Linked DNA regions of Coturnix japonica. The protein of the gene in region 1 purifies or fractionates together with the protein of each later gene. This does not show direct contact. Links are inferred from orthologs where the notes say so. Each region holds a gene or a part of one and is shown on either strand. Other genes may lie near its edges. The genes, in order: SUGT1 and NOD1.

The links.
Region 2: the proteins of SUGT1 (region 1) and NOD1 purify together in Homo sapiens (affinity purification with western blotting; 3 studies listed by BioGRID and IntAct, with this or other methods). This does not show direct contact. The link is inferred for Coturnix japonica from reciprocal best matches to the Homo sapiens genes SUGT1 and NOD1.

What each region holds. Positions count from the first base shown.
Region 1 is NC_029516.1:148,385,234-148,389,144, reverse strand, and holds the start of SUGT1 (protein SGT1 homolog), read left to right. Parts: upstream 1-1,049; 5' UTR 1,050-1,150; coding exon 1,151-1,179; intron 1,180-1,268; coding exon 1,269-1,314; intron 1,315-2,860; coding exon 2,861-2,950; intron 2,951-3,911. UniProt on the Homo sapiens protein: May play a role in ubiquitination and subsequent proteasomal degradation of target proteins.
Region 2 is NC_029517.1:37,980,881-37,984,691, forward strand, and holds part of NOD1 (nucleotide-binding oligomerization domain-containing protein 1), read left to right. Parts: intron 1-525; coding exon 526-609; exon of another isoform or gene 610-778; intron 779-1,650; coding exon 1,651-1,734; intron 1,735-2,958; coding exon 2,959-3,042; intron 3,043-3,811. UniProt on the Homo sapiens protein: Pattern recognition receptor (PRR) that detects bacterial peptidoglycan fragments and other danger signals and thus participates in both innate and adaptive immune responses.

The DNA.
Region 1 (3,911 bases):
CCAGCTAAATCATATTCATCAACACCACATCCAAACATTTCTTGAACACTCCCATGGTCGGTGACTCTACCACCTCCCTGGGCAGTGCATTCCAGTGCCCGACTACCCTGAGAAGTAATACTTCCTAATGTCCAGCCTGAATCTCCCCTGGCGCAGCTTAAACCATTCCCTCTAGTTCTATCACTGATTACAGGAGAGAAGAGGACAACCCCCAGCTCACTACAACCTCCCTTCAGGAAGTTATAGGGAGCTATAAGGTCTCCCCTGAGCCTCCTCTTCTCCAGGCTGAATAATCCCAGCTCCCTCAGCCGCTCCTCGTAAGGCCTGTGCTCCAGACCCCTCAACCAACAACTCCTCCTTTTCTATCACTTCCTAATATGTTATAAACAGCCCCATGTTTCATTGTGATCTTGGGATGTCGTGTAGCTCAGAGAGGTGTTCAAGACCAGGTTGGACAGGACCCTGGGCAACCTGATCTAGTAAATGTGTATGCTTGGTGGCCCTGCCAGGCAGGGGGGTTGGAACTACATGATCCTTGAGGTCCCTTCCAACCCGGGTCATTCTGTGATTCTGTGAACCTCACTACTAATGTTCTGTCACTGGAGGTGGCAGCAGCTCAGTCTAGTTGAATGGAATGAATTAAAGCCATCTCACAAGCAGTTCTCAGCCACAGTTTGGCATCTAAGCAGCCTTGCTTTAGCTCACTGCATGGCTCCATGCCCTGCCCTTCCATGCTGTTATGTTTTGACCTGCAAACACCCACAGCTGTAATCCCATTTTCGGGAAGGGCTGGCCACCAGCTGGAGGTTTATCTGGCAGAGCTCTCCCTGCAGCTGGGCCGCGCTGGCACTGCTGCTGGTACATGAGTCAGCACTGTGTGATGTGAGGTACATCTCAAATGAGAACTTTCTATTTCAGACGGGGACAGGCAGCCATTTCCATCATGGCGGACACCCAGCGCATGCGCACCGCGCTTTCCGCCATCTTGCGCGCCGCTCTGTCCCGACAGTCCTCCACACACTCTATGGAAGGTTGCGTGCCTCCGTAGCGATGGCGTGGGCGGGAGGAGCTTGTGGCGCCGCTTGGTCCCGTCAGGCCACGCGCGGTGGTTGCGGCCTTGTGGCGGCTCCAGAAGTTTCCTGGGGGAGGGATGGCGGCGGCTGCAGAAGCAGCGGCTCGGTGAGCACCCAGCTCAACACCCCGCTCCTTCCTCCCTGCCCGCTCCTTCTTCATCCCCGCCTCCTCACGGCGTTGTGTTTCCTCGGCAGGTTCTCGGACGCGGACATCGATCGGGATCCGACGGCGGCGGCGCGGGTGAGAGCTGTGGGAGGGAGCTTATAGGGGGTCTTATAGGGGTGATGCCGCATCGCTGTGTGTAGGGGGTGGTTCGCTGTGCTGCCCTCTGTGTGTGGGGCCTGGCTGAGGTCTTGGGTTTGGTACAACTGGCTGCTCATTATCTGTGTTTTAACAGTGAACGGTGTGGGTCTGGGCAGGCTGGTCTACAGGCTGCAACCCTATGGCGGGGGGGGTTGAAACTGCATGATTTTTGAGGTCCTTTTCAACCCAGGCCGTTCTGTGATTCTATGATGATAAAGCCATAAGCTTGTGAGGTGAGGGTGACGGAGCACTGGAACAGGCTGCCCAGGGAGGTGGTGGAGTCTCCTTCTCTGGAGATATTCAAGACCCACCTGGACGCCTACCTGTGTGATGTGGTGTAGGGAGCCTGCTTTGGCAGGGGGTTGGACTCGATGATCTCTAGAGGTCCCTTCCAACCCCTACAATTGCCTGTCAGCTGCCCTGTGGCTGACTGTTCGAGTTGCTGTAATGTATGGTTTGTTTGGAGGAGTGTCTCAAAACAAAAGTTGTACTTCACTTCTCAGTGTTCCGTGATCCTGTTGGGTCTCCTCATGCTTCTCTTGTCTAGAATATCTGTCTACCACGAATGATGTCTGATCTTGAATGTATCCTTAATCATGTCTTTACAGTCAGATCTAGTGATGCTTTTTGTTGTAGCTCTTTCTGCCTCCTGTTTCTTCAGAGACCTCTGAGGTTTTAGATGTTTGTGCTGTACTTCTATGGAGTTTTGTACACCTGATGCTGCCACTGGAAGAAGCTGTTGTGGCCACGTAGTTCCTAGTGTAAGCATATAAATGAAAGAGAGCAGGATACCAATCTGAATTCAGACAGGCCCTGCTACTTTTCCTTTTTTCTCTGGCTTGGTGAGTTCTAGCAGCTGTGTTGTGCTAACATTTGTGCAGGCTTAAAGTCTATATCTTAGCTACCCTCATGCTTGCCAAATTCTGAATAGAAATTGAGCAAAGTTAGCAAACATGGTAACCGTACTGTTACTGTCTCACCCTCATAGCGAGGTATTTTTTTCCCTTCAGATGTGCTGAGAATTATAGGAAGGTTTTTGGAACATACAGGATTACCTGAGCATTCAGATTCCTATTTAAGGCATTGATGTTAGGGGGAAGTTCTTTTCTAGGAGATGTTAGCCTGGAAGACTGCAGGGAGGTTTGTGGATCCGTCCTTGGAGGTTCAGACAGGTTGAGCGCCCTGGCACCTTGTCTGTTAAAAGTTGTATGTTTGGTGGCCCTGCCAGGCGAGGGTTGGAAATATGTTCCTTGAGGTCCCTTCAACCGTTTCTGTGATTCTGTGATGTTCCCTTTCTGCAAGGAATAGCGTGTGTAACTGCAAGTTCTTATGCCTCAGTTGGCGTTAGCTTTCAGGTAAAACTGTCAATTAGGTCCTTCAGTGAGCTGGTCCAGGGTATTTTTTTTCTGACATCTTACTTGACAGAGTCCATTTTTAGATTATTGGGATCTTCCAAGGGTGCGGTTTCGGATTTCTTCACAGAGAACTGACAAGAGCTTTGGAAAGGAGTCCAGATGATGCCGAATATTACTGTCAACGAGCTTATGCCCACATTCTTCTACAGAACTACACTGTGAAACATCTTCAGGCAACTGACAATCCTCTTAAGAGGTCGTATTTGAAATTCTTTATAGTTTAGATGACTAGCTTTTAACAGTGTTGCTGTTAACTTTAGTTTGCTGTTTGCAGTTAGGATGTACTCGAGAGCCTTCCTTATCTTTGATTATTTTATATCTGCAAAACTTGCAGCCGAATCTGATGCTCTGCAATCCCAGTTGCTGTTTGAGTTTAGCACAGAACTGTCTTGGAACATTATTTTCAGGTTAGATTTTATGGTGATTTTAAGCTTTATGTTGTAAACTCTTCCAACCTTACATGCTCTTTTTGGTAGACACTGAAATCCAGTTGTGGTAGGAAGGTGATAACCTGCCACCCAGGTGTTATTTGGTTAACTGAATTAACATTTAGCCTAAATTGCCTGTCAACAATTAAGCAAAATAAGTAGATAAATCAGGCATCCTGGCTTGTATCAGGAATGTGGTGAAGCAGACTAGGGAAGTCATCCTGCCACTGGACTCGGCATTGTGGGCCTCACCTTGACGTACTGTGTTTCAGGGGGGCTTTGGGCACCTAGCACAGGAAGACATGAGGTGCAGGAGAGGTCCAGTAGGCAGCGAGGCTCCCGTGAAGGCTTGGAAAATCGACCTCAAGGAGAGGCTAAGGAGCTGGGCTGTTTAGTTGGGAAAAGGGCTGAGGGGAATTATCGCCTTATTCGTACCTTAAAGGTTTTAAGTGAAGAGTGGCAGGGTCTCTTCTCACTGGTGCAACGAGAGGGAAATGGCCATCAAGTTGCGCCAGGCATGTTTAGGTTGTGATTTAGGAGACTTCTGTACCCAGAAGTGTTAGGTACTGGAATTAGGCTCCCCAGGAGGTGGTTGACGCATCCCTGGATGTGTTTAGAGCCGTGTTTGGATGTGATGCTCAGGATATGATTTAGCAGAGGGTGTTTATGTTAGGGTGTGTTGAGTTGATGA
Region 2 (3,811 bases), on another chromosome or scaffold:
GGCAGACTAAGAAACTTTGTGGTTTATAATGGAAAACATGCATTTACAGGCTTTTATCTCCCTGCACAACAGAAGGTATTGTGTTTGGAAGGGGAATGGAGCATTTAAGTGTCTGAACACCTCACTTAAAGGAAAAAGTGCATGGTTTGTAGTGGGAATTGGGATGACAAAGGAGCATACAAACCTATAAACTGCAAAGCACCAAAGCACTTTGCTAAGGGCCACAGCTTTCAAAATCACAGCTACAGCTCTGCTGTCAGTCCCAAAAGTCAGTTTGCTCTCGCTGACCACAAACCTTATGGTCTGTGTGACAGACCTGCATCAGGCTGCAGCCTGTGAACTGGTCTCACATATGTAAGTGGGAAGGGCTTATTCATTTGCAAAGTAAGTGAGCCTTTGAAACAGCTAAGTTCAGAGCTGGAAAGCTGAGACGTGAATCTTCCAAGATAGACATTATTATTTGGTATCGAGAAGGCCAAGCAACACTGGCTACTTTTTAAACCTTTGTGTCTGTTTGCTTCACAGTCTCGCATTCAATGGCATCACAACAGAGGGGGGCAAAAGCATTGCTGAAGCTTTGCAGCACAACAACTCCGTGAAAATATTCTGGTAATCAATGATGTGGGCTGCTTCTCCATCTCTTCCTTCTTCAGAGCAAGCTGCAACCTAGTTTTACTGCCTCCTTCTTTCCCTCGTGCCACCTCTGCACTTTTGCTACCAGCACGCTGTAAGATCACAGAATCATAAAGATCAGAATGGACCCCTGGAGATCATCTAGGTATATCCTTTGATGAGCAGTGGATTAGCTTTCCTGCTTGTAGGATCACTGGTACACCTTTGTTTCCATGGGAAGCTGGGTCTGTAGAATGGGCTCCTTACATTCCTGTAGGTTTTGATATGGTGGTATAGGACACCCCCTGTTTCCACTGAATGTGCTTAGGTGAGGCCAGGCCCAGCTTCACTGCTCTCCTGCTGTGACAGGGGAGCTGAGGACAGCTTGCATTCCTTAGTGCTGTTCACAGACGTCTGACAGGGTCCTGTTCAGCATTTCGAGTGTTCCTCCTCTGGCAGCAGAAGCAGTGTGCATGTGGGGTTCTGTGTGTCTGTATGTAACTTTAGGAAGATTGGTTGGGTTTTGACTGACGGGAGCAGAAGTCTCTTAGTGTCTCTGCAGACCTCTGCCTGAAAGCAATGATTTAATCCATCTGCCTCTGCTTTTGTTGTGTCCAGTAGTGAGCTGGAGCTTCACAGCTCCCCTTGTCCCTACATGCAGTTCTGGTTCATGCTTATTTCTACTCCCTCCATCTTACTTTCCCCATCATTCACAGTTTGTGTATCCCTTTAGTGCTGCATCTGCCTTTCCATCTTTTTCCAGTGCAGTTCACGCAGCTTTCAGTTACTCAAACATTATGAGAAAACCACGTTAGATAGATCAGTGCTCTGAGAAATTAAGCTCTGGCATTCTTGTTGCCTTTTTGACTCCAGGGCTTCTCTTTAGCATGTCTGTGTGTCCAGACTTCAGAGGTTGCTCAGGGCAGAAACAGCACACACCACTTTGGCTTTCTAAAATGAAGTCACCGACGAGCTGGAAAAACAGGAAACTGAAAAATAACGATAGCATCTTAAGTCAACGTTTTCTCTCCTACCTAGGCTGACAAAAAATGAGCTGGATGATGAGGCAGCAATGAGTTTTGCAGAGATGCTGAAGATCAACAAGAAATTGGTGCATTTATGGTAAGTTACATTCCACAGAGGCACAGTCTCTTTGGCAGTAACCGCATTAAAGCTTCACCTTCCAAGTCTATGTAGGTCACAGTACACTCTCTGTGCATGGTCTGGATGCAGCTGACTGGTTGTAGACAGCTTTAATGGAAAGTTAATAAAGCTGCTGTCTAGTGCTTTGAACCTGCTTTCTTACAGGGCAAACTTTAAGCTGGCCGTGCGTCCTGGTAACTTTTGAACTGCACAGCTGCCTTTGTTTTTCTGGGGCAGCTCATTACTGGCCTAAAATGTAAATTTCAGAGAAATACTAGCAGATATCTAGCATAAAGTAATGTTATGATTCCTACTGTGTGTCATCATGCTGTGAAAGTGGCAAGCTCATTTGGTATCCTTCAGTCAAGAACCTACACTGAACACTTCTGTTGCCATTTGCCCGGTGCTTTCTTCTGTGGCACTTTGACTGACACTGGATGCTTAGCTGTGAGACGCCAATCTCCGCAAAAGCAGATTCTTGTTTCAAGCAATCACAAGGATACTTGTTAAACTGCTGGGAAACCACAGCCCTGGAAGCTCTAATCCAGAGGTTCACAATAATTTGCCTGTGAATGGGGTTGGGCAGATGTGGGCTGTGAAACAAACAGCCATCCATTCATCCCAAGTGATTGAGAGAACATAATAAACAGAGTCCTTTTACAAGCTTGTACAAAACCTTTGCTAATCACACGTTAGTATTACTTGTGCTAATTGTAGTCTGTGCCCTTAGGAAAGTACTGACTATGTGAGAGCTGGGTACTTGTGGTCTCTTGTAAGCAGCAAAAGTTCTGGTGCCCATCACCCTGAAAATAAAAGGAGATGGGAAGAGCTTGATTTCTTCATGGGCAGCTGCAGATACGCTTCCCAGGGCAGTCTGTCTGTCTCAGAGAGCCCCAACACTGCAATCTCATACCAGCAGTAAAGAGCTCTCAGCAGAAATGTGTCAGCAGTGTCAGCTCAATATCTCCAGAATGCAGCCACACGCGAGCTTAGGAGGAAGCGAATGATACTCTGAGCTCTGCTTCTGAAAGTGCATCTGTAGGCATCTGACAAGCACTGTGTGCCCTCCTCAGAGATGGAAATCACAACTGTCTTCCTGTTGCAAACTGACAGCTTTGCTCCTTGACATCAAGCTGAGCTCATGTGGGCTTGTGCTATAAAATAGTTTGCGTGCTGGGCTGATATGAAGTGCTTTCTTTTTAGGCTTATCCAGAATCAAATTACAGCCAAAGGAGTGAAGTACCTCAGTGAAGCTCTCAAGGAGAACACAGCCATTAAAGAAGTCTGGTAAAGATCCTCTCCTCAAAGGCTCACTTTACTTTTTAAACTTTCTTTCCCTTTAAAACACGTGGCATTAACCTTCTAGCCTTAAAAAAACAAAAGCACAGAACAAGTTTCTGTAGGGCAGGGGCTGCAGTTCCAGCAAGCTTCAAAGAGGCAAAAAGCCTCTGTCACTGGAACACTTCCCTGCGTGTTATGATATCAAGGAGCTCTGTTAGTTCACGTCTGTCTAAACGCGCCGACTTGCAGAACGTGTGTTTCTGCAGAACTGGGCCCACAGCTGCAGTCAGGTTTTGCTTCTCGTGATTTATTTTCCAACTTCTTGACACGTTCGTGCCTCTCAGGAGCTGAATCCCAACAAGCAGGAGCTGGCTACATTTAATTAGCATTACTAATTTGGTTCATATTATTTGTGCTCGGATTTTCTTTGGGCGGTGCTCCAAGCGCACGAGAAGTGCTAAGCTCTGAGGAGATTAACTTTTTTTGTGAGATTTGCTTGTTTTAGATTAGGCAGGCAGCAGCCAGTCACGCATGTGCGCTGCAGGGCAGTGTGCCAAGCACCACATTCCTTCCCTCACCTCTGGGAGTTCAGGAGTCAATAGAGCGGTGCTGTTTTTTAGCGCTGCTGCTTCTGTATTATTGAACCTGAAATTTATGTTTTAAAATACGCGTTTGTTTTAATGAAAGGACGCTGAATTCCTGCTCAGAAAGACCGTGACTCACTTTATCTGACAGAGGGCTCCCCGGGGATGTGGAAGAAGCTTCTTTCAAAGGC